2 linked regions of the Macaca fascicularis genome follow. The protein of the gene in region 1 purifies or fractionates together with the protein of each later gene. This does not show direct contact. Links are inferred from orthologs where the notes say so. Each region holds a gene or a part of one and is shown in the gene's direction. Other genes may lie near its edges.

Evidence for each region.
Region 2: the proteins of MTOR (region 1) and AKT1S1 purify together in Homo sapiens (affinity purification with western blotting; 8 studies listed by BioGRID and IntAct, with this or other methods). This does not show direct contact. The link is inferred for Macaca fascicularis from reciprocal best matches to the Homo sapiens genes MTOR and AKT1S1.

What each region holds. Positions count from the first base shown.
Region 1 is NC_088375.1:223,550,732-223,554,537, forward strand, and holds part of MTOR (serine/threonine-protein kinase mTOR), read left to right. Parts: intron 1-9; exon of another isoform or gene 10-36; 5' UTR 37-50; coding exon 51-212; intron 213-865; coding exon 866-974; intron 975-2,268; coding exon 2,269-2,501; intron 2,502-3,241; coding exon 3,242-3,442; intron 3,443-3,806. UniProt on the Homo sapiens protein: Serine/threonine protein kinase which is a central regulator of cellular metabolism, growth and survival in response to hormones, growth factors, nutrients, energy and stress signals.
Region 2 is NC_088393.1:57,857,911-57,862,189, reverse strand, and holds the start of AKT1S1 (proline-rich AKT1 substrate 1), read left to right. Parts: upstream 1-1,448; 5' UTR 1,449-2,167; coding exon 2,168-2,220; exon of another isoform or gene 2,221-4,279. Other genes in the region: TBC1D17 (TBC1 domain family member 17), read right to left, coding at 233-307, 564-662, 1,059-1,079. UniProt on the Homo sapiens protein: Negative regulator of the mechanistic target of rapamycin complex 1 (mTORC1), an evolutionarily conserved central nutrient sensor that stimulates anabolic reactions and macromolecule biosynthesis to promote cellular biomass generation and growth.

The sequences.
Region 1 (3,806 bases):
CTTGTTTAGAATATTAAAGGAAACTTCTCTTTAAAGAACCTCAGGGCAAGATGCTTGGAACCGGACCTGCCGCCGCCACCACCGCTGCCACCACATCTAGCAATGTGAGTGTTCTACAGCAGTTTGCCAGTGGCCTGAAGAGCCGGAATGAAGAGACCAGGGCCAAAGCTGCCAAGGAGCTCCAGCACTATGTCACCATGGAACTCCGAGAGGTGCTTCTGCGATTTGGGGCCAGTCATTGTGGGATGTTTGGGCTAAATGTATCATCACTGGTTTAGACTTTTTTTGGACAGCTAAGCGAGGATTTGGAAAACAGAGATTATTTTAGAAAGGCACTCAACCTCTCACATCCATAAAACATGCAGGTTCTTTTGCAGCAGTTGCACATTTCTGTGGCATTTTTCTTGTTTGTGGTCACATTTTAGGGGCCAGAATAGACTTAGCTGTTTCTTTTAGCTTTTTCTTTTTTCCTTACCACATACCACACCCTCAAATGCTTTCTGTCTGATAACAGTGATTGGGATGGGTTTGGAGAGTTGAGAACTAGGGACTTTCTAAATAGAGACCAGACTTGAGGTCAGAGACAGTATCTTGTTTATCCTTGTATCCCTGGTACTAGAAAGAACCTAGGACAGAACATTTTCTGCCACAGAGTAGATACCCAATAAATATTTGTTAAATAATCAGAGGATTGCAAGTTCAGGTGCTCTACAGTGTAATCCTGTAGAAGTGGGCAGTAGCTTGTCTTCTTTGGTTTGAACTATACTGCCTGCCTCTCAGGATCTAATCTTTAGATGCCAGCCCACTCCCACCACCACAGTCAGAGAATTACTAGAAATTGTTCTGATTATATCTTCTTTTGCAGATGAGTCAAGAGGAGTCTACTCGCTTCTATGACCAGCTGAACCATCACATTTTTGAATTGGTTTCCAGCTCAGATGCCAATGAGAGGAAAGGTGGCATCTTGGCCATAGGTAAGGACAGAGTCTCTGGCCACAAAAACAACACACTCACCTTTGTGCCCATTGCACCCTGTGTCTGCCACTTACTGGATGCTAGTTCATATTTGCTTAATGAAATTTAAGAAGCCTGTGGCTTTTAATTCTAGCAGCAGTCCTGGGCTACAGGAAAAACGTATTTTTAGATGTGGAGGTGGAGTCTCAGAACCATTGAGTGACTTTTCAGACAGTTTACCAGAGCTGAGACTGGAAGCCAGCTTTCTTTTCCCTCCTTCATGTTGCGTTTTGTGGGCTCTGGTTCCTCAGTAGAGCAGGGTTTTGCATAGTGGGGCTCACGAATGGAAAAGTGGAATCGGTATAGTTAATAAAAAGCAGGTCTCTTTTTTTTTGAGATGGAATCTTACTCTGTTGCCCAGGCTGGAGTGCAGTGGTGCAATCTTGGCTCGTGGCAACCTCCGCCTCCTGGGTTCAAACGATTCTCGTGCCTCAGCCTCCCGAGTAGCTGGGATTACAGGCACCTGCCACCATGCCCGGCTAGTGTTTGTACTTTTAGTAGAGACAGGGTTTCACCATGTTAGGCAGGCTGGTCTCGAACTCCTGACCTCGAGTGATCTGCCCACCTCAGCCTCCCAGAGTGCTGGGATTACAGGTGTGAGCCACCACACCTGGCCAGGCAGGTCATTTTTAACTTCTAAGGACTGGTCATCAGTCCTGTGAATTATTATCCAGTCTCACTTGCTTTCCCTTTTTGGGGGACTAGGGAGGAAAATTATACTAGCATAAGATTATTTTGCTGTATGTAAATATTTCTGGCATAAGTATTAAATATCTGGGTTAAAATAAAAATTGTGTCCTTGCCCTCTAGAAGTGTACTCAAAGTAGAATGGAGGGATCACTTGCCAGCTTTTTTTTCTTTTTTTTTTTCCTGAGACAGAGTCTTGCTCTGTCACCCAGGCTGGAGTGCAATGGCGCAATGTCGGCTCACTGCAACCTCCGCCTCCCGGGTTCAAGCAATTCTCTTGCCTCAGCTTCCCAAGTAGCTGGGACTACAGGCGCATGCCGCCACACCCGACTAATTTTTTGTTGTTGTTGTTGTATTTTAGTGGAGAAGGGGTTTCACCATATTGCCCAGGCTGGTCTCGAACTCCTGAGCTCAGGCAATCCGCCCACCTTGGCCTCCCAAAGTGCTAGGATTACAGGCTTGAGCCACTGCGCCTGGCCAGCACTTGCCAGCTTTTAGTTGAAGTCTGTGTACTTTCCTGGTCAGCCTATGCCCCATCATCACCTTTTGCCTTCCTCTCTTTTCCAGCCAGCCTCATAGGAGTGGAAGGTGGGAATGCCACCCGAATTGGCAGATTTGCCAACTATCTTCGGAACCTCCTCCCCTCCAATGACCCAGTTGTCATGGAAATGGCATCCAAGGCCATCGGCCGCCTTGCCATGGCAGGAGACACTTTCACCGCTGAGTATGTGGAATTTGAGGTGAAGCGAGCCCTGGAATGGCTGGGTGCTGACCGCAATGAGGGCCGGAGACACGCAGCTGTGAGTGCCTGCAGGGAGGAGCACAGCCAGGCTTGGGGAGCGATGGTGTCATGGTGGGGTCTTTTGCTTCCTTCTGAGGCTCATCCCTGAAAAAGGCTGGTTAGAAGGGCTAGGATTCCAGGCTGTGAGATGGGGTAGAGTCCGTCCTTAAGAGAGAATCTAGCAGTGGTGTGGTAGGGATCAGAAGCATCAGCCGCATGCTTTCCAGTCTGCTGCCCTTCAGAGGAGGCACTACTGTGAGGGGGGGGCATGGTACCAGGAGAAGGACACACACTTGGACCCTGGCTCAAGTCTTGGCTTTACAACTTCCTACCTAACTCTGTAACCTGGGGCAGCTTCTGACCTTCAGTTTCTTCCTCTGTCAAATAAAAATAACAACAAGATTAAACATTAAACAGGATTATCCATTCAATAATTGTTTACTACATACCTACAGTATTCCAGGTAGAGTTCTATGCTATTAGTATAGTGATATAGAAAGCATAAAACACATCTGCACTTCCAGAGCTTATATTCAAACATTACAAGCATTCTGTGTTTGTAAACAACTTAGGATAATGACCACTGAGATGTTTAATCAAATTTACTTTCTTCCTCTGTCCCCAGAATTTCCTAGCTGGAAGAGTGAGCAAGCCTTCTCTGTTCCTAGTGTGTATGGCTCTAAGATGATAAAAGACCGTACTCCTGAGAGAACAAAGCACTGGTACCGACGAGAGTTCTCGGTTTGTCTTTTTCTCTAGGTCCTGGTTCTCCGTGAGCTGGCCATCAGCGTCCCTACCTTCTTCTTCCAGCAAGTGCAGCCCTTCTTTGACAACATTTTTGTGGCTGTGTGGGACCCCAAACAAGCCATCCGTGAGGGAGCTGTGGCCGCCCTTCGTGCCTGTTTGATTCTCACCACCCAGCGTGAGCCGAAGGAGATGCAGAAGCCTCAGTGGTACAGGGTGAGGAGATGGGTCCATTCCCAACACTAGGAAAGCACGTCTACATAGAGAATCACCTGGCCTAAGGGGCAGCCACAGGCCCTTGCTATGGAGCAAGCATCAGTTTTTGTTTTGGTCTCAAATGAATTTTTTTTTTTTTTTTGAGCTGGATTGCCCAGGCTGAAGTGCAGTTGCACAATCTCAGCTCATCGCAACCTCTGCCTCTCGGGTTCAAGCGATTCTCCCACCTTAGCCTCCCGAATAGCTAGGACTACAGGCGTGTACCACCACGCCTAGCTAATTTTTGTCATAGAAACAGGGTTTTTCCATGTTGACCAGGCTGGTCTCGAATTCCCAACCTCAGGTGATCCACCTGCCTTGGCCT
Region 2 (4,279 bases), on another chromosome or scaffold:
AGCCGTCCCCACGACTGTGTGTCTCATGGTCCCTGCTCTTTTTCCTTGAATGGGCATCCTCTGCCCATTTCACAGAGAGGAGCAAACCAAGGGGCAGAGTACCCAAGCCCAGACAGGGTCACACATGTCCCATGGGTAGCTCTGGGATTGTACACAAGTCCCTCAAATGACTTACAACAGCACGGACCTAGAAGAAAAGTGAGTGGAGAAGGGCAAAGCGGGTGGAGCCTACCTTCTTGGAGAAGAGGATTTGGGTGGAATCTCCAGCCTCCTCTACAGGAGCCCAGTGCAGGAGGACGTCATTGTCCTAGGGGAAGGAGGGAGGCGGGGTTAGAGGCGCTCCCCAAACCACATTCCCAAAACTTTCTGTTGCAAATTTCCAAACTTTCCCAGTTTCTACCCTCGGCCTTTCAAAGTCCCGCCCCTCATTCCAGTTCCCACCCCCAGCCTTCTTCAGGTCCCACTGCTGACCGCCAGACCAAACTCCTACAGTTGCCGCTTGCATCCCAGAGCGCCTGCATCCCGCTCGGAGCGGGTTCGAGCCCTGCTCCCTCCCAACGCACCTTTTCCACGACACGGATAACACCAGCGATGAGGGAGTCTCGGTCCTGATACTTCTTAGCGCTGGTGTGCAGGTACACTCCGCCCTTCTCAAACACCACCTGAGTTGGGGGGAACCAGCAAGGGCTGAGGCCCAAGAGAAGGCGACCAGCGAGGGTACCGGCCTGGGGAGCCAATAGGGACGGGCCCAGGGAGGAGCCATCCCCAGGGGGCGGGGCCGGGAGGGCCATTGCCCAGGGACGAAGGCGGGGAGAATGGTCCAGCCCACGTTCGGATGCTGGCGTGCGTTCCACAGAGGGCAGGGCCCAAGGAGTCGCCTGAGCCGGGGGGCGGGGCCATGAGAGGTTCTTCCCTGGGGCGGTAGACGGGAGGGTGACGGCGCGTTTATAAGAGATCGGAGTTTCTCAAGTGCACTCGCAAGGCCTGAGGGAAGAGCTCATCACCAGACGGGGCGTTTCGCATACACTGAAGCGAGGGAATGCGTCCTCAGTGCTTACCCTGTAGCCGGCTCCTTCCATAGTCGCCGCCGAAGGCCCCACTGCCCCGCCTCCTCCTTTTCCGAGTCAGCGTGTGGTCACTTCCGGAGAAAACAGTTCCCCTCCGGACCGGACAGTGGTAGCGCCCCGACCAGTTCCAGAGAAAGAGTGGGTGAAACCATTTTTCCAGAAGGGGGATATTCCACTGGAACTTCGAGGGTGGATCGGAGCCACGTGGCGCAGACGCTGAAGGTGGAGCCGGCTACGGAGAGTGCGCAGGCGCAGTGTTCTCCCTCTCGCCACGAAGTAAACAAGTGGGAGGGTCTGAGAGCTGCACCACCTGGGGCAAGCACGCCTCGAAACGCCCACTTCCTTCTCCATGTTGTATACTGGAATTGAAGCCAAGGAGGTACCATTTTGCTCGAGGGCATGGCCTAAGCCGGTCGGCTAAGGCCATGTTAATACGGGGGTGTCCCATCTCTCTGCGGGGCGCGACAGCTGGAAGAGCCGAACGGATAAGAGAAGAGGAGGTGAGAGGAGCTGTACACCACAAGAGGCACTGAGGGACTCGGGATAACGGGATGAAGCCGTCAGTGCCCCCAGAAACGAAGCGGCCCCAAACGAATTTCTGAGTCACCGTCGCGAGAAAGCGGGCTGAGCCGCCATTTTGAAGCCTGGCAAACCGAAGCAAGAAATGCTGCCGTGTTGGATCTTTGCCAGCTTTGGTGCTGAATGGGAGCAGGTTGGAGGGAGGGAGAGCCAATGTACACTATGGGCTGATTAGACCGGTTGGCTGCCATGTTGTTAACGAGCACCGATTTCCTCCACTTTTGTCGAAGAAGTTTATCGTGGGTCAGGGACGTCAGATCGCTTGCCTTCGTTTGCTGTGGTCATGAGCGAGCTTATGAGGACGGCCATTATTGTTGGGGGCAAATGGAAATGCTCTAGGCGAGAAAGCTGAAGCGTTTTTTTCGCCATTTTTTTTATGGGCACGCTGCCGTCGCCATTGCCCACTGGTTCGGATGAAGCCCCTGTGGCCGCCATCTTGATCTCGGGCGGCCCCGATAAGGGAGGCGGAGTGTACAGAGAGGAGGCGGGGCAACTACGCGGACGTGACGCAAGGCGCCGCCATGTCTTTTGAGGGCGGCGACGGCGCCGGGCCGGCCATGCTGGCTACGGGCACGTGAGTGGAGGCGGCGTTGTGAACCGCGGTGTGGGGAGGATTTGGCCGTCCTGAGGCAGCGGGGCGCTGGGAGGGCGAGCGGCTCACGGGAGGGGTATGGCCTGCACAGATCAGAGGGCAGAGGTCCGCCAGCGACCCTTTGCTGAGCGCTGGAAGGGGGTCGCTTGTGGGAATCGTCCTGTCAGACCTGAGGCAAATCCTAGACAGCCTCACCTTGCGGTGTCCAGAGCGCCTGGGATCTCTACTTGGGCCGTGGACCACGTCCACGGGGTCGGGGAATGGGTTGGGGGGCCTCGGGGCGCCCCTCACCCTTCCAAAGGCGGGACTTCCGGTCCTGGCCTCCGGCTGGGCGGGATTTCCTGTTTTCTTCCTAGACCAGTGGGTCCTCCCTGGACCACGGGCGAGGTTGGGAGGTCTCGGGGCAGCTGAGCCTGGCCCCAGGCACTCACCCCACCCGTGGCTACCGCGTTCATGCTCGGGTTCCTCACATCTTGGGGTGTGGGGCACTAAAATTTCGACAGGAGGGATGGTTCCACCCTTCTTCTCCTTAGCTCTTTCCCTCCTCCCCGCATCCAAAGAGGACAGCCACATCGTGCTCCCCCTCCTGTGGGGAACACGTCTCACTTTCGTCTCATCTCTCCCTGATCTTAAACGAAACTTCTCCATCGGGGCGGGTTCTTCCTCCATCTCTCAGCTCCTTGGAGGAAACAGGACCTCCTCTAGAAGCTCAAGGGTAAGGAGGACCGCCAGGTCTTGGCTACTCTCCTGTTGGGTAACATTACAGGTGCCCCTGGACCTTGGCAGAGAGGCCTGTGGAAGTCGCCTGTCGTTTTTGCTCATGTCTCCTGAGTTGGGGGAACCCTCACAACCCACTCACCCTATTTCACTCTCTTCAATCCCGTGGCTCCTCCAAGATTGAGTACAGGCAGGGAGTTTTATCCTGACGTCCTCCTCCGGGACCCCCGCTCCCCTTCTTCTCCGAATGTCATTAGGGGCTGCGGGCCCATGGAAGTGAGAGCCCCAGGCCTAGCACAGCCAGGCAGTTGACTTTGGACCGGCCACTTCTTGCTTCGAGCCTCAGTTTCTTCCTCCATCAGCTAGGAAGGACATGAGGGGTGTGTTTGAGACACTGGGTACCCCCCAGTTCATTGGGTTTTGGAGGCTGGGCAGTCAGCGGTTTCAGCCCCACTTGTGCCCTGTGTAGCTGTGTGCTTTCTTGCCAGTGTCCTAAGCTCTCTGAGCCTCGCTTTTCCATCTAGATAATAATATCTGCCCTCCTAAAGGCAGGCAGGATGGCGGTCAGGATTTAGAGCAGGCCCTGGATCTAGACTGTCAGAGTCCAGGTCCCAGCCCTGCCTCTTCCAGTTGTGGGGCCGGACTCTTCAAGATGCTGACTGTCCCTGGGCCTGAGTTTGCAACTGTAAAATGGAGTGAACTGTAACTAAAACTCCTGCCTCATAGCGTAGGTGAAAGGGTGGGATGAGAAGGTTGATCCCATCTTGGGTCGTTGCGTGGCTTCTGGGAAGTGGTGGATAAACCTCTTACTTCCCTCGGGGCTTTGAACTCCCTGAGTGAGTCAGATGGGAGGTGAGATGCCAGGTGTGGAATCCCAGCACTGAATAGGTGCTCAGCAAACACCGATATCTATGATCGTGAGTCATAAAGGGCCTGCAAATTTCATTCAAACTCCAGACTCCCTGCTCCCTTCACCCTGGTGGGCTGGACCACAGCTGTGCCTGAATCCCTGCAGTGGCAGTGTGCTCACTGCCTCCCCAAGGAGCCTCTTCCACAGCCCAGCAGCTCTGGCTCAACCACTCTGGTTAATGGGGAAGAAAATGAGGCACAGAGAGGGCCAGTGAGCTGTCCAAGGTCACACAGCAGGTTTGAGACAGAGTCAGGGCAAGGACCCGGCCCCCCTACCCTCGCTCTTCTCACCCGGTAAGGAGATGCACCCTGCATTGTCTGCTTAGGGCCAACCTGTCCTGTGAATACAAATCCCTGACCTTGGGAGAATTCACAGTCTGATGCAGGAGGCAGCCAGGGTACAGCTGTCACAAGC